3 linked regions of the Macaca fascicularis genome follow. The protein of the gene in region 3 interacts with the protein of the main gene of each other region in a pairwise test. Links are inferred from orthologs where the notes say so. Each region holds a gene or a part of one and is shown on either strand. Other genes may lie near its edges.

Evidence for each region.
Region 1: the proteins of KLRC1 (region 3) and PMP22 interact in binary tests that used the Homo sapiens proteins (3 or more experiments, as listed by UniProt). The two-hybrid records come from large-scale screens. The link is inferred for Macaca fascicularis from reciprocal best matches to the Homo sapiens genes KLRC1 and PMP22.
Region 2: the proteins of KLRC1 (region 3) and MAL interact in binary tests that used the Homo sapiens proteins (3 or more experiments, as listed by UniProt). The two-hybrid records come from large-scale screens. The link is inferred for Macaca fascicularis from reciprocal best matches to the Homo sapiens genes KLRC1 and MAL.

Annotation. Positions count from the first base shown.
Region 1 is NC_088390.1:15,313,460-15,320,926, forward strand, and holds the start of PMP22 (peripheral myelin protein 22), read right to left. Parts: upstream 4,777-7,467; 5' UTR 4,604-4,776; intron 2,026-4,603; exon of another isoform or gene 1,902-2,025; intron 862-1,901; exon of another isoform or gene 704-861; intron 225-703; 5' UTR 191-224; coding exon 113-190; intron 1-112. UniProt on the Homo sapiens protein: Might be involved in growth regulation, and in myelinization in the peripheral nervous system.
Region 2 is NC_088387.1:712,631-720,351, reverse strand, and holds the start of MAL (myelin and lymphocyte protein), read right to left. Parts: upstream 4,777-7,721; 5' UTR 4,692-4,776; coding exon 4,599-4,691; intron 1-4,598. UniProt on the Homo sapiens protein: May be involved in vesicular trafficking from the Golgi apparatus to the cell membrane. Plays a role in the maintenance of the myelin sheath, and in axon-glia and glia-glia interactions.
Region 3 is NC_088385.1:10,465,148-10,472,704, forward strand, and holds the start of KLRC1 (NKG2-A/NKG2-B type II integral membrane protein), read left to right. Parts: upstream 1-3,252; 5' UTR 3,253-3,625; intron 3,626-4,592; exon of another isoform or gene 4,593-4,698; 5' UTR 4,699-4,770; intron 4,771-6,799; 5' UTR 6,800-6,830; coding exon 6,831-7,017; intron 7,018-7,406; coding exon 7,407-7,502; intron 7,503-7,557. UniProt on the Homo sapiens protein: Immune inhibitory receptor involved in self-nonself discrimination.

The sequences.
Region 1 (7,467 bases), on a different chromosome or scaffold from region 3:
GAGACTTCCAACTGTCTGCAAATAACACAGTCCTGAACCAGAAGGAGCAAGGGCTGGGAACCCAGATAGGGAAGAGCGGGCCGCGCAGGGAGCCTCCCAGCCAGGCACTCACGCTGACGATCGTGGAGACGAACAGCAGCACCAGCACCGCGACGTGGAGGACGATGATACCCAGCAACAGGAGGAGCATTCTGGCGGCAAGTTCTGCTCAGCGGAGTTTCTGCCTGTGGGGAGAGCGCTGGGCGTGAGGCCGAACGCACTGGGCCGAACGAGGGAGGCGCGCGCAGAGGGAGGGTCCCGCGCACTAGCGTGAGGCCCGGCCTGGCCCAGCGCCCGCAGCCCGCCCGCCCGCCCGCGCGGGTCAGGAGCCTTCGCGCCGCCTGCCGCCGAGAGGGGGCAGCAGCCTCCTGCAGGACCAGCGCCCAGCGTCCAGCGCCCAGCCGGACCCGCCTGCAACGGAACATCTTTGCTTTTAGAAACAAAACAAGCGGTTCGCACGTCTAAAAACACCCAGGGAATAGAGGGGTTTCCAGAAAATATGACCAGAGGCCACTGCACGCTTCCACCCACCCCGAGCGCCTCCCGGAGACCGCCCTGTAAGGGGAGAGGTCCCGTTCTCCGAGACCCCAGTTCAGACTGTGAATTCGCCTACGGGGTGGAGGTAGGGGTGAGGGGAGTAGGCGCCCAGATTTCCGTGATAGACCTGGAGATACCCGTGACATGCGCTGGGAGAGACAGCAGCGAGGAGGCTGGTTTCCCAGACCCCAGTGCTCTCCGCATTCCGTTCGTCTCCAAGTTTCCACCCAATCCTGCCAGCGTAGAGGAACCGTCCTGGCCCCAGCTCAGCCTCGCGCAGACTCTGGCGGCTCCGGAGAGGCGGTGCAGAGCCAGAGGAGTGTGGAAAGGAAAAATGGCTCGGGAGGGTTGCCCGGACCCTGCGCTTCCCGTCCACCGCGCGCTTCCCCAGGCGCGCCCAACTGAGACTCCTGGGGGCAGGGGGCATTCTGCTCCTGCGCTAGACCCGCATGCTCGCCTAGGGGTCCAGTCTGCACCCCAGGCACTCAAAGCCAGGACACGGACCCCATCAAGACTGAGCTCCGGTCTGGGCGCGGTGGGACAGGAGCCCAGGAGCCTGGACCGAAGGGAGTAGATGTCCAGCGGATGGGAAAGAGAGACAGAGTAAAAGGCCGAGTCCGATAATTTCAGCCGGTCAGAGCTGGCAGGCCATCTATCCCAAGTAATGCGGTCCTCGCCCCTCATTTTAGACTTTGGGGGCAGTGAAGGCTGGGATGACTTGTTAGAGGACATGCATGGCTGTGGAAGATCTGACTGAGACTCTGGGGACCATTTCAGGCAGAGTCTTGGGCCAGGGAAACAACGTTTCAATAACCCAGTTTGGAAAGTACCCAATCTCAGGCCCCTCCGTTTCTCTCCACAAGCATCACATTCAAAGACACTGGAATGCGCTGGAAGAAATAAACAAGGATTTCTGATGACTCCCAGAGGGTTTGAATTAAACAGATGGCATGAGGCTGGGAACTGGGGAGCCACAAGAGTCCAGCACTCTCGGGATGTCCGCCACAGGGGCTGTTTTGCCACTGTGTCCCGGAGTCAACGCCTCTTCAGCAAGGCGAAAACTGAGACGCCCTTATGCTCTATCCAGACACCAGCACCATCACCCTTGCCCTGTAAGGTCTTACAGACCATAAAGGCTCCCCTCGTTGTATTACTCCAAGCCCCATTGGAAGGGAACAGGACACACAAGGGACCCTGTGCCCCTAAACAGAAGCTCCAGGGAGCTGGCCAAAGCCCCGCGCCTGCTCTGCGCCTTCTGACACCCTCACTGGAAGATGCCCACATTTCTCCTCCATCTCCTTCACTGTCCCCACCAAATCACTTACAGCCCAAAGGAACAGCTGTCCCGATCCTCAGGGTGGCCTCAAGTACAAACTCGGGTGCGTTGGCTCCGCTGCCGGCGCGGTCAAAGCTGCGCTGCGGGGCTGCGCGCGCGCGAAGCAAGGGGGCAGTGGGAGGCTCCCGGCGTTCCCCTTTAACGGGAACAACGCCCTGTTTGCGTCGCTGCAGTAGGGTGTGTCCCTGGGTCAGCGTGTGCGGGAGGGCGGGACTCAGGGAGGAGAGAGGGCAGGAGAGAGGGAGGGCAGGAGACAGTTAACTTGGCCTTAAATGCGCCTCAGGGAAAAGTCGGTCTCTGCAAAATCGCGGCGACTTTTACTCGAAACCAGAGGCGGCCGAGCTTTCTCACCTCCCACCTCCCTCCTCCCCCGGCCCCGTGGAGATCATGGAAACCTAGTGTTGACCGAGAAACTGGCTCCTCAGCCCACCCTGGGAAGACTCAGCCAAATGTAGCTCAGCGGATGCCCAAGGATGGGTTTCGGGGCGCGCCGACGCCGACCGCGGCCGCGCGGGGCTGAGGTTGGATTCCACTCCCATTAACAGAGGGCAGCGGGCGCTTGAGCGCTGAAGGAAGTCCCTCTCTTCTCGGGTCCTGGAGCCCCTGCCCTGTCCTGGCGTCTTAGCCGGGCACACCTGCACCTCGTCGGTCCCCGCTATTACTGTCTGCACCTACCAAGCATGCCGGCTTCCTAGGATTGGCAGGGATTGATCTAGCGGGCTCTGCTTGAGTGCGAATTAGGGAAAGAAAAGTCCGGCGACTACCGGATAGCGTGGTCTGGGATTGGGCTCCTCCTAGCCTGGGCAAAACCAGACTACCACCGAATAAGCTCAGGCAAAGTGTTCCTGCAGCAGTCGGGCTTGGCTGTCGGCCTTGGCTGGCGTCCTGGCCATGGGGTTTAGGGGGCGGGTGCGAGGTGGCCATTTGAGGTGGGGTTGGAGCAGCCAAGGAAATCAGCTGATTCATAGCCTCCTAACGTGACCCGCCCAGCGTTACAGGGAGAGAGGCTAGCCCTTCAGTCTCCGCTTGGCAGAGGCGCGCCCAACTGAGACTCCCGTGCGCAGGCCAGCCTTGATGCACAGGACGGGGAGCAGGAATGTGGATGTTAAAGGTCTTTGCCTGAAAATGCAGCAGTTCGCGCGCGCACACACACACACACACTTCCCTACCTCTAGTGTACTGTGTCATAGAAGCTCATCCCTCTCAATGATTCAAATAATTCTATATTAATTTACAATTTGAAAGGAGCTGCTACTTTAGCTAATTGTATATTCTTACTGTAAGTAAAAATAAATTTGAAAAAGTCTTCAAACGGTGATCTTTTTAAAACTCTCATGTTATCAGATTAAAATGAAGTGTACTTGTAAATTGTATTTACAGTTCCCATTACACGCCAGGCACTTTGCCTGGACTTTTGTATGCATGGTCTGTGAGAGGCAGTGGTTAGGCATTCTGTCTCTGGGCTCCAACAAACCTAATCACCTTGCTTACTTTTGTTGTGAGTTTGGACAATTTCTGAAGTTCAGTGAGCTTCAGTTTTCTCAGATGCAAAAGGAACTAGTAATGCCTGCTTTAAAGGTTTATGGTGATGATTGAAGGAGACAATATGTACAAAGCAGTTAACATCGTGTCTGCAACATAATAAGGGCCCAGTGCCCAAATTGCCACCACTATTGTTATATCACATTTAACTCTCACATCAACTCTTCAGGGAAGACCTGACCACCTCTGCATGAAAGTAGCTTGTAACTCTGATAGGTAGGTCGATCGATCGATCGATAGACAGGTAGATCGATAGATTGATAGATATTTATAAATGAAAGTGCATAGGCAAGTAGAAAAAAAATGTCTAAAGACCTGGAAGTGTTTTCTTTCCTCCATGGGTCATTTTATAGGTTAGATTTGCTCTAGAAATTATTACTTTGTTTTATGCTGTTTGGACATTTATTTATTTAACCAACATTTTTGTGATTACTACATACTCAGGACAGTTCTAAGTAAGCACTTTACAAATATTAGCAAATCTAACTCAGGATTTTCTTTCCCTTCCTTTGTGATTTTCAAATAAACTTTTTAATAAAGTCTAATACACATACAAAAAAAAGTGTACATATTGGGTGTTACAGGTCGCTTCTTCCTTTCTTTTGAACCCAATAGTTTAATCAATAACCACCCAGGTCACAGCGACACCATACGCTGCCAGACAGGTAAACCCAACCCATCTGTCCCTCACTGCCTCTGGTCTCCTGCCTGGCTCTCAATGGTGGGAGAGGAAATGCTACTCAGTGCCTGCTGACCAGGCTTGCCACACCCAGAGCCCGGCTGGTCAAGGCTCTGCCACAGGTGGCAGCTTCTCCCTAACCTGCTTACCAAGGCCGCCTGCCGGGTGTGTGTGAACAGCTATTTTCCATGGGGGAAGAAGCATCTAGATTCCTTTCTTCCTTTCAATCTGGATGCATTAGGGTTTCTAGATGCTCTCAGATGGCCCCCCACCTCCCCAGCCAGAGTGTATATCCACCTCTTAACCAAGGATATAAAAAACCCCCTGAATGTCCAGTCAATTCCAACACAAATGCACCATCTCTCCTGCAATCCTTTTCATTTGCAGCTTGCAGGGGGTGGGGAATTAGGCAATTCTTGTAAAGCATAGGCATGCATCACCCAGAGGCACAGGTTGCCAATAAAACTCACCCAGCCAAACAGCGTAACCCCTTCTTCCAAGCGGATTTCTTTGCAGTCAAATGCAAGGGATGCTGAGGCAAGGCCCTCCCCACAGGACAGCCAGAGACCCGCAGTCGACAGACTAAGCCTGCAGCTTCCAACCAGGCTCCCTGAGATGTTCCCTGGTGGTGCTCCCTGTAACTGAAGCCAGACCAGGCGTCTTTCCAGTTTATTCAGGGGCTGGTCCAATGCTGGGATATGTCATGGTGGCCTGAGAGGTTCTCAGCCTCTATTATTTAAAGAGACAGTGTCCAACTTTGTGTGCTTTCCAGAATACAGTAATCCCAAGAGGCCCTGCAGGGCATGGGGAAACTGGAATCAGAAGGGAGAAGAGCTTTGAGTATGCCTGAAGTCTGTGATGCCAAGGCTGTTCTCTCTGGAAGTGCCAACCTGTGTAATACCCAAGAGGCCCCACTGGCTCCCCTCCCCTCCCAGTGAATTTTGCAGAGATTAAATATACTCTGTGAAGGATCTGTGTCTACAGTGTTACGTATGTGCAGGTAAGTTTTATTTTAAATAAACATCATTTTAAGGGGCCCAAACATTGCACAGCTAATCTCTCACAGCATCACAGCAGTGAGCCAAATGTCTCAGGAGTCACCAAATCAAGCCTGCTTTGCTCCAATCCCTGGTTGGAAAGACTCTCTGTTGCCTGCTCTGTCTGCCTAGACCCCATCGCAAACGATCACATGTGTTGTACATTAGAATAAAACTTAGGGAAATGGGTTCTTCCGACTCTGTCTTTAATGTGCCCTCATCAAGCTGACCTTCATGAGATAATTCAGTGTAAGTAAACGAACCTCTACTGAAAGCTTTCTAACCTGTCAGGCAGGATAGGCTGGAAGCGCAATTGGAAATTCTTGGAGAGGGAGGTAAAGGAAGTTATGGCATTTTTAGGTTCTTTGAAGCGTACCCACTCCAGCTCCCAGAGAGTCCTCCATCCCTTGAACCGCTTCTAGCTGCAAGCTCCAACACAAGGGGACTGGTTTCATTGCATGAGTTTCCTGCAATTCTGGTACTCGTGGCATAAGACTTCCTCTTGTGTCAGGGATCCCCAGTCTGGAGAGACCTGCAGAGTTTGGAGAAGTCCCTCCCTGTCACACACTTTATGTGTGGTTGGACTCTCCGGTCACAAGGGCCTCTCAATGGCCCTCTCTCCTGTTCTGCCCACAGCCAGCATCTGCTCACAGTCACCATCACAGCCAGCGCCGATGAAACAGTTTCACCTTTCTCTCTTGGCTGAAATCATTTTTATTTTTCCCAGCAGTGGTTCTTTAGAATCACTCAAGAGCTTTGTGAATGACCTAGCCTGGGCCATGCTCAGAGAAGCTGACTCAGGTGGTGTGGGATGGGGCTCAGGTATGGGTAATTTCCAGTGTCTCTCTCCCCACTGGATGTTTGGTTATCCAGCCAGGTTGCCATGTGGGGTTAGATTGTCCCTGATTTCCTTCCAGCTCCCTTCTGTTGTGGAACCCAAATGGAGATGAGGTGCAGTGTGGGCTGCTGCAGGATTATGCAAGTTATAGGTCAGTTTTGCCAGGCAAAACAGGTGTGTGTGTGTGTGTGTGTGTGTGTGTGAGAGAGAGAGAGAGAGAGAGAGAGAGACAGACAGAGAGACAGAGAGAGAGAGACAGAGAGAGAGAGAAAGAGGAGCCTCCCTCAATCCTCCTCTGACATGGTCTGTACAGGGACCGGGAACAGTGAGCATGGGTTTTTGCAGCCTCTCCAGACAGCCTTTTCCTGGTTACTGCCATGTTCAGGTCCAAAGGCTACATGACAGAGGCTGCTCTCCCTCAGGCCAGGATCAAGCCTGAAGACATCTAAGATTATTTCTGATCTAAGAGCTAAAGATTCCGAGGAAAAGGGGCAGGGCCTAGTGAGTGTGGGGCATGGTTTCTGGCTACATAGGACCAATCTGATCAGCCCTACCTCTCTGCTTCCATGAGCTCCACATTCTGAGACCTGCTCCCTTGGCCTCCTGTCTCTTTTGTCCAGGTCCTCTGGCAGCCAAACCCTAGAGTCCCTGTTGGCTGTCAGCACCAGAGCTGGTTACTGTTGTGTTCCACCGGCCCTGTCTACCAAATGCCAACACACTTGTCTTTACCCATCTGGGCCAGACTCTCTTCCCTTCCCAGAGCCAAGTGAGGAAAATTCCTTCCTGGTCCCCTGTCTCCCATTTCCAATAACCCTGTTGTCAGCCAAATGGGACAATGTCTCTGCAAAGCTGTAGGCAATATCCCACTGAGCCTCTTGCAAAATAAACACATAGAATAGTCGCCAAATAACATTTATTATTATTTACTGTCCTCCCTTCCAGTTATGAAGAGGAAAAATGAGAATCGAGATTATCTGAGGAAACACAGTTGAGTCAATGAGACTGGCTACTTCCAGCACCTGAGTTGTTCTGCTACACCACGCTTCATCGGCTCAGTGGCATCAATCGTCCGCAAGTCCTTGATAATGATGATAATAGGTTATATTTACGTCGTGTTTAGCATATGCCAGGCGCCATCTTCAACATTTTATATGTGTCAAATCACTTAATCCTCACAACTGTATGAAATAGGCACCCCATCATCCTCTTTTAGAAGAGGGAGAAACTGAGGCACAGTGAGATGTTCAGTCACTTTCTCCAGACACACTGCAAAGAAATGATAGGCTGGATTCCAATCAGGCATTCTGGCTACAGATCCCATACTCACAGCCTGGGCTATCTCACATTCTACCGTGCCCCTAATTGTGCCCAGCACGTTCCTAGCATATTTTCTCACCATGCTTCCATAGACGCTATCATTTAATGTCCTATTTGTATGAAAGATATTCTCACTTATACA
Region 2 (7,721 bases), on a different chromosome or scaffold from region 3:
CACTCGCAACCCTGCCTTCTTTGTGGCCTGGGGAGGGGAGGCTGAGTAGATGATCTCACAGCCCTCTTCAGCCACTTCCTTCACAAGTCCTGAAAGGGTAGGGGTCTCTCCTGGCACAGGGGTCTCTCTGTGGGAGACCTTGCGTCTGGGGGCCATAGCTGAGACAGAAAGCCTTCCCTGCACATCTTCTGTTTCCTGAACGGTGGCTCAGTGTCATGAAGCCCCTGGCTTAGAATGGAGAAGGAGGAGACAGAGAGTGGCTCCAAAAGGAAAAGTTCCTCACTGGGTGGGACTTTTGCAGGGGAGCAGACCAGAGGCAAAGCCCTGGGTTTTGTTGGAGGAGGAGAGAACACTGGCCATTTCACCCGTGGCCTATACAGGGCTGCGCTGATGACCCACCACCTGCAATAGGGGCACAGCCTCTGTGACTTTGGAGGTATTTGGAAAGGCAGTCTCACTTCCTAGTTGGGCCTGCCTTCCTCTTCCTGTGAGGACTCTGCAGATTTCAGAGGTCAGGAGGTCTGGGATAGGGCTGCAGGGCCAAGGAGAGATGGCTATGCCCCACCCTGAGCTGCCACCCTCACTTGCTCCAGTGGGCAGTCCCCTCACCATGGAAGTGGTGCTCCACCCTGATCGCCTTGGACATCTGCGCCTCCCAGGCTGTTGGGAGGTCAGGCATGGGAATCTGAACTATGAGTCATCAACAACTCAGTGGACTACAGATTTAAAAAATAATCAAGCATTTCACACCCATCGGATTAGCAGAAAATTATAAAGTCTGACGCTACCAAGTGATGAGGAACAATGGCGACTTTCATGTGCTGCTGGTGGGGGCCGGGGAAGGTCCAGGTTTAGCCTGAAGCTTAAACAATTGGGGGGACTATCTTTACAAAAGAATACAAAATTAGGCAGAGTCTTGGAAGGGGCATGAGTAAGGAGGGGTCTTGAACTTAGTTAAACATCATCGGCTTCCCAGTAAATCTGCTCCTGGGGTGTGTAAATTGGAATTACTCTTTTGGATGGCAATGTGGTAACATCTGGGAAAATGACAATGTGCATATCCCCTGTGACCCAACAAGTCACATCCTCCACGTGTTTATGGGAGAAATTTCCAACAGGTAACTACAGAGGCAAATATGAGAATGTTCTTGGCAATGCTGTCTGCAGTAGCTAAAGGCAGCAAATTGGAACTATCCCAAGTGTCTATTAACAGAAGACTGGATAAACAAAGTCAACATGTATAAATCTCAGAACATAATGTTGCCTGGAAAGCATGTTGCAGAAGGATATGTACGGTACGCTGGCATTTTCATAAAGTGTGAAAACGTAAAACAATGCCATGTGTAGGTCATATGTGTGCAGTGAAAGTCTAGACTGTGCTTGGAAGTGAACACCACATTCAGCTTACAGGTGGCCTTGAGGATGGAGGGAGAGAGAGAATAAGATAACAGAAGGATGTCTAGGGGGCTTAGATGCCATCTGAAAGCTTCATTTCCTTAATACATAAAAGCAAACAAGGCAAAATATTAAGATTTGACAAAGTTGGGCAATAATTATATAGGTGTCTGTTAAAGTATTATATATATTCTGTGATATTTGAAATATTTCTATTTTTGTTTTTTAAACTTGAGCGAAATTAACATATCATCAAACCAATCATTTTAAGTTGACAGTTCAGTGGCATTTAGTGCATTCATGGTATTGTGCACCCACCAACTCAATCTAATTCCAAAGCATTTGCATTACCCCCCAAAAGGAAACCCCATAGCCATTAAACAATTGCTCCCCTCGGTGCCTGGTTAACCACCAGGGTTTGTGTTCTGTCTCTACAGATTTATCTATTCCAGATATTTTATATAAATGGAATCATACACTATATGACCTTTTGTGCCTGGTATCTTTCGCTTAGCATAGAGTTTTCAAGGTTTATCAACTTTGTAGCACGTATCAGTACTTCGTTCCTTGCTATGGCCAGGTCGTATCCATCATTTGGGTGTGTCGCACTTTGTTATTTAGTTCATTGCTGATGGCCACTGGGCTGTGTGTTATTGTGAAGAGTGCTGCTATGAACATGGATGTGCCAATACTAAAGTCCCTGCTTTGAATCCTTTGGTTATATACCCAGGAGTGGAATTGCTGGGTCAGAGGGTCATTTTCTGAGGGAACACCAAACTGTTTTCCACAGTGACTGAACCATTCACATTCCCACCAGCGACATACAAGGGTTCCAATTTCTCCACACCCAATACTTGACGTTTTCCATTTTTTGGATGCTAGCCAGCCTAATGGGTGTGAAGTGGTATCTCATTGTGATTTCTTTCTTTCTATTTATTTATTTAATTTATTTACTTATTTATGTATTTTTTAAGACCAAGTCTCACTCTGTTGCCCAGGCTGGAGTGCAGCAGCGTGATCTTATTGCAACCTCTGCCTCCCAGGTTCAAGCGATGCTCATGCCTCAGCCTGCTGAGTAGCTGGGACTACAGGCATGAGCCACCACGCCTGGCTAAGTTTTTTTAAAAAATTTTTTTATTTTTAGTAGAGACATCGGTCAGTCTGGTCTCGAACTCCTGACCTCAGGCGATCCACCCACCTCAGCCTCCCAAAGTGCTGGGATTACAGGCGTGAGCCACCGCACCTGGCCTCATTGTGGTTTCAATTTTGTTTTCCTAATGCCTGATGATGTTAAGCATCTTTTTATGTCCATATTGGCCATTTGTATATCTTCTTTGTAGAAACCTCTGTTCAAGTCCGTTGCTCATTTTCTAATTGGGTTGTCTTTTTGTTAAGTTGTAATATTCCATAATTAAAAAAAATACCTCCCCCGGGGTGGCCAGCGCCTTCTCAGGCCGTTTAATTCCGCATTCCTTCCACACATCAAATATATACAGCTTCATATTTACAGTCCACACAGAGGAGAACTGAGAGGCTTGGGGCCAGCTTTCTCCTCTTCTCTCCCAGGCACCTGCTAGCCCACCCCTAATCTAGAGCATGAGGAAGACGCCTGGAGGTGACTGTGCGTTGCGGGTCTCCTGGGAAGTGAGGAAGGGAGGTGGGGAACAGGGGTGAGGTGGAGAAGTGACTTTCTAAGTCAGCTGAGAGAAGCGTTCTGGGCGAGGGGGAGTTGTTTGTTCTGGAAGCCCCGTATGGGCAGGCCACAGAGCCACGCTGGCGCTGTCGGAGCAAGCTGCCAGTAGTAGACGGTTCCAAGGTTTCCCACACCCCTGTAGTCTCTGCAGCATTGGTGGGTTGGGTGGGAGCCTCCGGTCACCTTTCCCGCAGATGAGATCGCCCCGTCTCACTGGACTGTTCCTACTCTCAGGGGCACTCCCTCTTGTATGTTGAAGACCAGCGCGGGGCTGGCTCTCTGTGAATGGTGGGGCTGCGTTCATTGGCGTCCCGGGTTTCCTCTAAATGTAACTGCTTTGATTCCGCCTATCCCTAGGATTTAAAGTCACCGGTTCCACCCAGGTTGGGGTTCGACTCGACTTTCACCCCAAGTTCAATGATAGTCCTGCTCCCAGGCCGCCGCAGCGGCCCCTGCCTAGCCCCTGCCCCCAAGCCCTCCTTGGACGAACTGACCCTCCCCCTCCAATCAGGCAATAACAACCTGGGGTCCAATTTTTAAACAGCCAGGCTCCGACATTTTCTTTCCCCTCCAACTCTCCACGCCTGTGCTTCTGAGGGTGGGGTGCCGGAAAAGGTGTCCCTGAGGCGGCGACGGACCGCACCCACAGAATATACAGGGCACACCCCTCCCAGGTGAGGGCCAGCGGGCCCCGGGGAGTTGAGGCTGAGGGAGGTCACTTCGGCTTCGCGACGCCTTGAGCGCTTATCAGGAGTTCTCAGTAGGAAGCGCTTTCCCGCAGCCTCAGGCAGAGACCGTGCGCGCAAGGCGGGACCGACCGCAGGTGCAGAGGCCCCGGGGCTGCCCAAGGTCAGCCAGGGCACGCGGATAGCTCTCGCCGCCCCCCCAACCCCCGTCTCCTCCACTCCCACCCCACACACGGGGCAGAAGGACTGCGGCCGCGCAAACTAGGGCCTCATTTCCAGATCGAATTGGTCGCAAATACGTCCCCTCGCCAGAAACTGTAAAAGCCCAGAAGAAAATAAACCGGATTCAACTCCCTCTCATCTCCAGATCTCGGTTGGTAACACTAACGTTTCTTTTGCTGATTTTTTTTTTTTTCCGACACTATCTCCCTTCAAAACGCTGCGCACTTCTACCCAACCGCGCAAAGCGCGGCGTGAGCTTCGGCGGCGCCGGGCGCGTCTGGAGGGCCCCGCGCGCAGCTCTGGGACCAGCGCACCAAGAGCCGTCCCCGCCTGACCCGCTGCCAACATCCGACCCCGGTTGGGAACCCGGTTTTTCCTCCATAGTCCTGTAGACTGTTTCCCTCATTCCGTTGGTCTAGAAGGGGACAAACGACCGGAGGTGGGAGGGGGCTTCCCTGGCTTAGTCCCCGCCCTGTCCCTGCTGCCCCGATGCTCCCGGGACCTGCGGAGCTAGCGGATCCAGTCCGAGAGCTGTGCTGGGCGCCCGAGAGAGCGCACGGCTCAGCATCCCCCAGTCCCTTCCCTGGCCAGGAGTCACTCACAAACTCAAAGATGAAGAGCAAGTCGGGGAAGGTGGTGAAGACCGAGAAGCCACTGGGCAGGGTGCTGCCCCCCGACGCCGCTGCGGGGGCCATGAGGGCGTGCTGGCGTGGGCCTCGGGACTGGACGCGCGCCGCTCAGACTGCGCGCAGACCTCTCGCTTGCTCCGCGGAGCCCAGTGGCCTGGGCGCCCCCGCGCGCGGGTTAAGAGCAGGGGAGCCGGAGCAGAGGAGGGAGGAGCCCAGGCCGCCGCCCAGCTCCGCCCCCAGCCCCACGCCCCGGGAGACCCGGCCCGAGCGCCGCGGGCACCGCCCTGAACCTCCTCGAGGGCCCGCTGCGGGCGTGCAGAGCTGGGGACGGTGGACCTGACTCCTGCGTTCCAGCCGTGGGTGGCACCTCTTGTGGGAAGCAGGGCAAAACCACTTTGGTCAGGGGCTCCTCATACCTTTCTCGCTTCGTAGGTGACCAGTATCTCCTAAGAATGTTAACCATCAGTAACCGGGACCCCAAACCCACCAAGGCACCCCTCGGGTCACCATTGCTCTAACTTTGAATTTGGGTCTCCTTCATTTTGCCGCTGGATGCGTTAATGTGCGCGACCCACAGCTCCAGGCGGCGGTTTCCTGGCGGAACGGGACCGCCGCCACAGCCTGGGGGTCTGCAGTGGGGGCTGGGACCAGCCCCGGCCGCCGGCCCGTTCCGCGTACCCCGAGCCGGCGCTGGTTCGGCGCTGGGAACGTGCACCGGGGCCTCTGTACTTGGCGCTGCGCGCCTGCCTGAGGGTAGGAGGTTGCTCCCCAGCCGTGCCGGCCCCAGCAGAAGGCTGCTGGTGGTGGTGCTGGGGCAGGTCTGCCTTGGTTCCATGGGACAGGAAGGGACGTTACCAGAAGAGATTCATCTCTTTCTCTTGGTCTGGGCAGCCCGGGCCTTTGGAGGGTGGGACCGCTGCTACCTCCACCCGCATGTTCTTTGCTGCCTGTTGACTGCCAGTGTTTCCTGTTTTGTTTCTCTGTTTCACTATCTATTACTTTTTGCCTTAAAAAAAAAAAAAAAAACAAAACAAGTATTACTATACAGCAGTTGCCTATTTATTTTAATTTACTATTAATAGTGGATTGCTGTGTTTCCTCCTACAAACACTGAAGCCTGAAATCCGCCCCCGTCCGGATTCTCTCCTGCCAAGAGGGAATTGTCCCCGCAGCCTCCAGCTCAGACTCCCAACCCTTCTTTCTTTTCACTGGCAGCTGCTGCAGGCAGGACAAGGGGCTCCCCTCTCTCCAGTGGGGCCCTCATCTCTCCCTGCTGCACAATTCTTCCTCCTTCCCAGTCCCTAGGGAGAGAAGTACATTCGTGGACGCATTTTCCAAAGAAAAGTAGCGCTCCCATCAGCTGGCCATTCTAAAGCGCCTCTGGAAAGGGGCCAGGCATTTGAAATGAGAAAACCTCGATGTGCCTCTGAGAGCTGCTAGCTCGGATGGCTGCAACCAAGTTCACTGTGTCGGGTCCCCAGGGCAGCATCTCTCTGGGCACAATGGGCTGTGGGACTTCAGAAGCCCAGGTCCTCACCCACCGTGGGCATCTCATAGCTCGCTAGTTGGACCTGCTGGCCTCTGAGAGGACATCTTCTTCCTCCCCAGGAGACCGTCCTGGGAACAAGCCTTAAAGCAAGGTGGCTACAGGAAGCCGCAGCCTGCAGTGGGGGGTGAGATGACCCTCGGGCAGTCCAGCGAAAGCAGCTTGGAAATTTCCCATCAGCACACACTAATTAAAAACAAGAAGATCCTATCAACTCCTAATAATGTCCTTGCCTGGTCTGGAGGGGTTTTGTCTGTAGTTTGGTTTGGTATTTTGCTACTTCTTTCACGCCTCTGTTGCTAACTCTTCCCACTTGGGCCTGAGCCTTTGGGGAAAGCTCACTCCAGGGGCAGCTCAGTCGAGCTCAGCAGTCCCAGCCCTCCTTTGATAAGGCAGAGGGGCGGCAATCTCTGAAAGAGGCTTCAGAGGATGAGGAGGGCAGCCCGGCCAGGGTCAAGCGAGTTTGTCCCTATCTCTGTGACTCCTTCCTTCCACTGGAGTTCTCCGCCTGATGTTCATCTTCATGACTAGACTCTACCCTCAGCAGGGCGTCCTCCAACCACCCCCATCTGCCTCTCTCCTTCCCCACCCTAGCATATCCTCAGCCCCAAGCCGAACCCAACCTCTGGTGAGTGCTCGATGCTGGATGGCTCTAGCCTTGTCTGTGCTTGACCACCAGAGGAGGACATGTAAGTGCCCTGTTTGGATGTAAGAAGCACTGGTAAGGAGTGAGGCACTGGTAATAGAGAGGCTTTGGTAAGTAGAGAGGCATTGGTAAGAGAGAGGCATTGGTGAGAGAGAGGCATTGGTAGGCTTCCCCAGGTGCTCTAGGTCACCTGCTGATGAACGAAAGGCATTGGTGAGAGAGAGAGAGAGAGAGAGAGAGAGAGAGAGAGAGAGAGAGAGAGACATTGGTAAGAGAGAGGCATTGGTGAGTAAAGATGGGCCTGTCTTCATTTCCCAGCACAGCTTCCCCAAGTGCTCTGGGCCACCTGCTGATCAATGTGGTGGTTGATACTTATCAGAAGCCCAGGACCATATTTTGGTTTCCAGCAGGATATGAAAAAATAACTTCAGCCAGTAGTAACTCAGTGAGTGTCCTCAGTCTTCCCAGTGGGTGTGAATAAGAGGGTGGATCTGGGGCTTCTGTCAAATATTAACTTGGCCTTGGGCAGGTTTCCACAAAGTAGGAATTGGAAAGTTGCCATTGCAGAGCCAGCCTGGGGAAGGAAGAGGTTACCTCCAGCTTGTGTGTGTTCAGGGGGAGGGAGGAGATTGTGGGGAGAGGGATGTGTTTAGGGAAAGATTAATGGGGCAGGAGTTGCCCATTCATAATAGCAGGTGCATTGGTTTTTGAGGTAGGTAAGATGACTCCCATTTTACTGATGAGGTAACAGAGGCTCAGAAGTGTTAAGTAGCTGCCCAAGGACACAGAACTGCTGAGCACCTTGAACCTGAGTGACACTGCACCTCTAAAGCTTCGAACCCTCGATGAAAACCCTGCTCAAGATTAGCAATTGCCATTCAAATGCCAGTTCCATGCAGACATC
Region 3 (7,557 bases):
AAAGGGAAGATGGAGCCTCCATGTTGAAAATACCTGACTTCCAGTCAGTCCCTTTTCTATTGGCACAGCTGCCATCATTCATGCATGCAACCTTCCAGCCTGCTTATCTACGTCTGCTGCTCGATTTTTCAGGCTACTCTTTGTTAGAAAAGAAGTTATTTGGGGCTGCTTTTTGTTAAAAGGGAAGCCTTGCTGAGGATTCCTTCACCCTCACTATCTGCCTAAATAATTTCTTTCTAGTTCCTGTATCACTGGTATAACTGGCTAGCCATGTGCAGAAGAGTTAAAATGGACCCTTACCTTTCACCATATAGAATAATTAACTCAAGATAATTAAAATTTTAAATGTTATACCTCAATCTAAAAATTTTAGAAGAAAACCTAGGAAATACCCTTCTCAACATTATCCTTGGCAAACAATTTTTTGGTTATGTCCTTAAAATCAATGGCAATAAAAACAAAAATTGATAAATGAGACCTAATTAAACTAAAAAGCTTCTGCACAGCAAAATAAACTGTTAATGAAATATACAGACAGCCTGCAGAATGGGAAAATTTATTTGCAAACTATGCATCTGACAAAGGTCTAATATCTGGAATCTGTAAGGAATTTAAACAGAACAACAAGGAAAAACAATAACCTCATTTAAAGATGGGCATAGGACATGAACAGACACTCCTTAAAAGAAGACGTACAAGTATCCAACAAGCGTATTAAAAAACACTTATCATCACTAATCATCAGAGAAATGCAAATCAAAACCACAATAAGATACCGTCTCACACTAGTCAGAATGACCACTATTTAAAAGTCCCAAAACAACAGATGCTGGTGAGGCTGTAGAAAAAAGAAAATGCTAATACACTATTGGTGGGAATGTAAACTAGACTAACCACTGTGGAAAGCAGTTTGGAGATTTCTCATAATACTTCAAACAGAGCTATGATTTGACCCTCAATTGCACTACTGGGAATATATCCAAATGAAAATAGATCATTATATCAAAAAGATGCATGTACTCGTTTTTATCACAGCACTATTCACAACAGCAAAGATATGGAATCAGCTTACGTGCTCATCAGTGATGAATTGCATAAAGAAAATGTGGCATATATACTCCATGGACTAGTACACAGCCATAAAAAAGAATAAAACCATGTTCTTTATAGCAACATGGACAGAGCTGGAGGCCATAATCCTAAGCAAATCAATGCAGGAACAGAAAACCAACTACTGAAGGTTCTTACTTATGAGTGGAAACCAAGCACGGAGCACACTTAGACAAAAATATGGGAACAACAGTCACCGCAGACTACTAGAGGGGAGAGGACAGTAGGGAAGAATGGTTCAGAAAACTACCTACTTTGGATTATACTCACTATCCTGGTGTAATATACCCATGTAACAAACCAGCACATGTTCTCCTTGTATCTGAAAATAAAAGTTGAAAGAAAAAAAATTGGAAAAATTCATGTAACAAACCAGCACATGTACTCCCTGTATCTAAAAATAAAAATTGAAAGAAAAAAAAATTGGAAAAATTATCAAGGACAATTGACTGGCCAAAGATTTTTTGAGTAATACACCACAAGCAGAGGAAACCAAAGCACAGATGGATAAATGGGATCACGTTAAGCTAAAAAATAAACAAAACCCCCCACAAGATTCTCTTATCTTAGACTTTTGACAATGTGATTATATTGTGCTTCATAATAGTGTTTTTTGGGCTGATCTTGCTTATGATTCATTGAGCTTCATGAATCTGGATTTCCATATCCTTCCCAAGTGAGGAAGGTTTCCAGACAGTATGTCTTTAAAGAAAAAATATTTTTGACCTTTTATCTCTCTCTTCTCCTTCTGAAGTTTCTATACTTTCTATACCATATTCTTGGTGGTGTCTCAAAGGTCTCTTATGCTTTATTTGCCACTTTTTATTCTTTTTTCTTTTTTTACTCTAATTTGTTAATTTTAAATGACTCTTTTTTGAGTTCACTAATTCTTCTGCGTGTTTGAGTCAGGTATTGAAACTCTTTATTGACTTATTTCTTTCTTTCATTGTGTTCTTCAGCTCTAGAATTTTTGTTTGGTTGTTTTTAGTGGTTTATATTTCTTTATGAAATTCTTATTTTGTTCATGTATTTTTGTTTTAGAGTTTTTAGTACTCTCTTCTTTTGCAACTCACTGAGATTTTTAAAGATGATTGTTTTGAATTATCTTAAAGGAAACTTATAGATCTCCATTTATTTGAATCAGTTGCTAAAGCTTTATTCATTTCCTTTGGTGGTGTCATATATGTCTGATGCTTTGTTATTTGTTTATCCTTGTACTGGTGTCTGTGCACTTGAAAGAGCAGACATCTCTTTCAGTCTTTACAGACTGGTTTCGGTAGGTTAAGACCTTCTCCTATTAGGGTCCTGGGCTGATGAGATTGCCTTCAGTGTCATGGTTGAATGGGGTTACAGCCGGATCACATGGTTGCTTATGGGTCCAGAGTGGGATCTTTGGTTCATGATCCTGTTACTAGGGCTTCTAGCAGGCTTGTATCCTCCTTAGTCCCTCAGAGGACCAAACTGGCTCTAGCATCATACTCTATAGGGCTGGGGAGGGAATGAGGGTCCACTTCAGGGTCTGTAGATGGTGGGTCTATTATTAGGTGTGTAGTTGGGGGAGAGTTTATCTAGTTTTCTGGGAAGGCTGCTCATGGGTCTCTGAGTGGGTTCCTCAACCTGTGGCTGAGAGGAGTTAGTGCTAAGTCACAAGGTTTCCTCGGAGTCTATAGCTGAAACCAGTGTCTTCATGTCTGTCTCTGGGGTCATGGATGAGTGTGTTTTCTGGCAGGTATCTGGGCAGGCAAACTTGCTTCAGACTGTAGTTAAGATGGGCTGGAGCTGGATCACAGGATTGTTTCAAGATCTGAAATAAAACTAAGGTCTGTACCTTTAGGGGCACTTATGGTGTCTCTCTCCAGGTCCCTGTGTGGGCAAACTGCTCTCTAGCATAGCTGAGGAGGGTTGAACCCCCTTTTCTGGCCCATTTCAGGATGTGCTGTGAAACCTAGGTCAACGGTCTCCCAGTCGGGACATGGATGCACATGCCCTCCCTCTGTATCCCTGAGCTGGCAAGACTGCTCACAGCCCACAGCTGAGAAGGATGAGGGTCATGATTCAAGGCTGTTTCAGAAACTACCATGGAACTGAAGTCAGCAAGCCTGTACTGCTGCCAAAGATGAGTGAGTCTCACAGCAATTTCCTGTGATTAACTCAGGCCACAGTTGAGAGGAGTTTGAGTGGAGATTCAGGGCCATTTTAGTATCTTCTAGAGGACAGAGGTCAGCAAGCATGCCCCAGGGGAACAGATGTATATGTCTCCCAGGAAGTCTCTGTGGGTGAAAGACTGATCTCAAAAGTTGTGGCTGAGAGTAGCTAAAGCCAAGTTAGAGGGCTGTTTCAGGGTCTACATTGAGACTACAGTTGATATGCCTACCTCCTGAGACACTAGTGTTTGAGTCTCCTCCTGGGCCCCTGGACAGATGGTTTTGGCAGCATGACGAAGTCCTAATGCGGCTGAAGGCAAGTCCACAGGAGGATGGGTCTCTTTTCAGGTCTGGAGATGGAATCACTGTTGGTAAGTCTGCCACTTGGATGCAAATCTATTCTCTAAAGCAACCCTCCTAGGTCTTGGGTTCCACTGGCATTTTACAAACTCCTACTTGAATTCCAAAACTCCCTCAAAGGGAGTTTCCTCCACTTTTGTCTGTGGATGGCTGAAACATTATTGTTGCTGTTGGGGCATATGTGTGGGGGACCACCTATTCTGCCAATTTGCTGACTTTTCTCCTAGTGAGATTTTAAAATTACTTTTTCCCGATACAGAGCCTGCCTTCAGTTTTTGTCATTTACAACTAAATATTTCTTTCGAAGTTGAGATAATTTGTTATGGTGGAGAATGGATAAATGAAGAATATGATGAATAGCTATTTAATATTTCAATCTCTGGTATGCTAATATATTTCAAAATTGATTAATATTTTACCCTTCCAAGATACATTTATTTTCATCAATGGTAATCTGAAGATTAAATAATCTATTTTTTAAAAATTAAATGCAAAAATTTAAGAACTAAGTTAATAACATAACTTTGGCAATGATGGTTTTTGTGTCAGCTACAGTCAACTGAGTAATTACTGCAGTAATTTTTCAGAATAATTAAGGAAAAAATCAGTAGCTATCAGTTGATAATGTTACTATGAGTTTTAGAATGTTTTCTATTATAATGGAAGTGACATAATAAAATAATATAAAGAAAAGAAGTATGCAATGTTAAGATTTAGCAATCTAGTCTAAAAGGCACTCTTAACAAGGTGGGGGTTGGCAATGTTTGTGATCAAAACAGAAAAAAAAATTCTCATAGGTGCTTGAAAAATGGACCAACTAAATGACCCACTTTCAAAGTCAACCTTGTACTTTTAACAGACCAGAGTATCCTATATTTTGGAGGTGTGTGATGAGATTAAACTGATTTCACAATAGCCCATGTGTAGAATTTCCTGTTCAAACCTTAGTAACACGTTGATGAGAAATCTACTTTTTCCACTCTTGACTCACTCTGAGCCTTCACAGGGCAGTCTGCGAAGATTGTAGGCATTGTTTGTTCTTGTCCTGGATTTATGCCTTTAAATTTCACCTTTTATTTCCCAGCTATAGCAGGCCTTTTTGTGAGACTAACCTGGCCTCTCCACTAAAGGATGTGTGACTTTCTGGGGACAGAAGGTATGTGTTGCTACTCTCCAACTCTCTACTAGCCTACCTCATTTAGTGGGTGATTACAAGTGCTCAATATGGTACAAAGGAGGTATAATTAATATACAGTAAAATCAAAGTAGAACATTGCTGTCTTCATTTGAATAACTCAGGGTAAAAACCATATGAAATATGTTGAAGGATTTCTTAAAGTTTTCAAATTCTTGTTTGTGGAAACCTAGTGGGTTTGTTGATCAATATAATTTAAGTGAAACCTATTAACATCACAATAATGAACAATTAATTTTGTATTTTGTAATCAGTACATCATGTATCTTTGAATAATAATTTATATTTAGCTTAGCCATTAAAGATTATTAAAATAAATGAATCAATTGATGAAAGCCAAATACAGTTCCTCAGACATGTAGATTAAATAAAAGCAGTTTTTATTTTTAATAAAAATCACAATGAGGTAGAGTACATAAAATGCTAAAGGTAATACAAAACAATCAAAATACTTTTTTAAAGTTTATCAAAATATTGCAAAAAAAGATGTAGCACACGGATATAGGAGACTTATCTGAAGATTCATTTTCCATTCTTTAACTGACACGAATCAGAAACAGTAACATAACAATTGTGACTAAAATAATAATTAAAATAGCTAATGCTTATTGAGAACTTTAAGTGCCAGGTTGAGTGGTAAATGTTTTACATGCAACGTTTTATATGTTCTTATTCCCGTCTTAGATTAACAAACTGGGTTATTAAACATAGAATAACTTTTTAAAGGTCACACATTGTAAGTGTCAAAGCTAGAATTCATTCTAGATCTCACTCACTCCAGAGCCCATTGACTAAATGATTTAATTACATTATCTGAAATTTTACAAGTACTTACACAACAAAAGTGGCCTTTACTCACCTTGACAACTGTAAAATCTTTCTATAAGTTTAAATGAAATGTGCTTTAACATGAATTACCTATACTTTTATTTATCATTTTTTGGTTCATAATTTAGCCAGGAAATAAATTACCAATTACTTATTAAATTACCAATACTTCTATAAGTATTAACAATTTATGTGGTGTTCCTAATACTATTTAGGTTATTCATAAGTTAACAGTGTCATATAGCATTTCCTGACATGTACAAATATTCACATTTGTAATCATTTTTAGTAATTTAAATAATTTTTAATAATTTCTTAGAACATTTCAACCATTAAGAAAAGACCATTTAATTACCCCTATTGATTTTCATTAATGTATATAAATTACTAAATAAAAGTAATTTAGTGCAAGAAATTTATATATATGTGTGTGTGTGTATATATCTCAACTTTACTATTACTCATGTGCAGACCACATCGTCTTAACCATTACTGGATTTCAAAATTAACATAAAAATGAGTGCAGAACTTTTTCTAATACATTTTAATTTTTAATACAGGTAAAGCATCAGACTTTAAGAAATGTATTTTTATTCCTGAACTTTTTATTCCTTAGTAATTTATTGCTTCTTATTGCCCCAGCAATAATATTTTGTCAAACGTAGAAATTTCTCTCTTTTTTTTTTTTTTGAGTCAGAGTCTCACTCTGTCGCCCAGGCTGGAGTGCGGTGGCACGATCTCGGCTCACTGCAACCTCTGCCGCCCGTGTTCAAGCGATTCTCCTGCCTCAGCCTCCTGAGAGTTGGGACTACAGGCGCCTGACATCGTGTCCGGCTAATTTTCGTATTTTTAGTAGAGACGGGGTTTCACCGTGTTAGCCAGGATGGTATGGATCACCTGACCTTGTAATCGGCACGCCTCGGCTTCCCAAAGTGCTGGGATTACAGGCATTAGCCACCGCGCCCGACCCAAAAATATATTTTTTAAAACAAATATTTTACCATAAGAAACTTGTTTAGGCTTGAAGAAAATTAGAGAAAGAACTTTAGATTCTTTAATGCAAAATGAGCTCCAATACTCGTTCTCCACCTCACCCTTTTAACTGCACTAGGGAATATTGTATATAAACCATTTATTAACTTCTTAACTACGGTTATTGTAGAGTACAGTCCCTGACATCACACACTGCAGAGATGGATAACCAAGGAGTAATCTACTCAGACTTGAATCTGCCCCCAAACCCAAAGAGGAAGCAGCAAAAACCTAAGGGCAATACAAGCTCCATTTTAGTAACTGAACAGGAAATAACCTATGCGGAATTAAACCTTCAAAAAACTTCGCAGGATTTTCAAGGGAATTACAAAACCAATCACTGCAAAGGTAAAGCATTTAAAAGATCCTCAATATAACAGTCTAGGATGTGCAGCTTGGGGTACAGGGATGTGGGGAAAGAGCAGGGAGTGCTCACATGTTTTCTATTTGTAAAGATCAGAATTTCAAGTTGAGATATGCCATTTCAATATAAAATATGAAGACTGATTTAACTTATTGTTGAAATGTGTAGTCTTCGTCAAAGAATTCATGAGCATTATTTTTACTGAAAATGCAATGGTATATTATTCAGAGAAAAAGATTACAATGGGAGATGAGGGTTTGGGGTCCAAGTTTCTCCATATGATTCCTGTGCATTCAGGTTCTATTGTTTTTGAATCTTCTAAACAACTATGTCCACCTCTCCTTTCGCACTGTTCCCATTTCGCTCCCTGCAGATTTACCGTCAGTTCCAGAGAAGCTCATTGCTGGGATCCTGGGAATTATCTGTCTTATTTTAATGGCCTCTGTGGTAACAATAGTTGTTATTCCCTGTAAGTCTATTTTAGAAGATTACAAGGGGAATTTTCACGTTAATGATTGAATGTG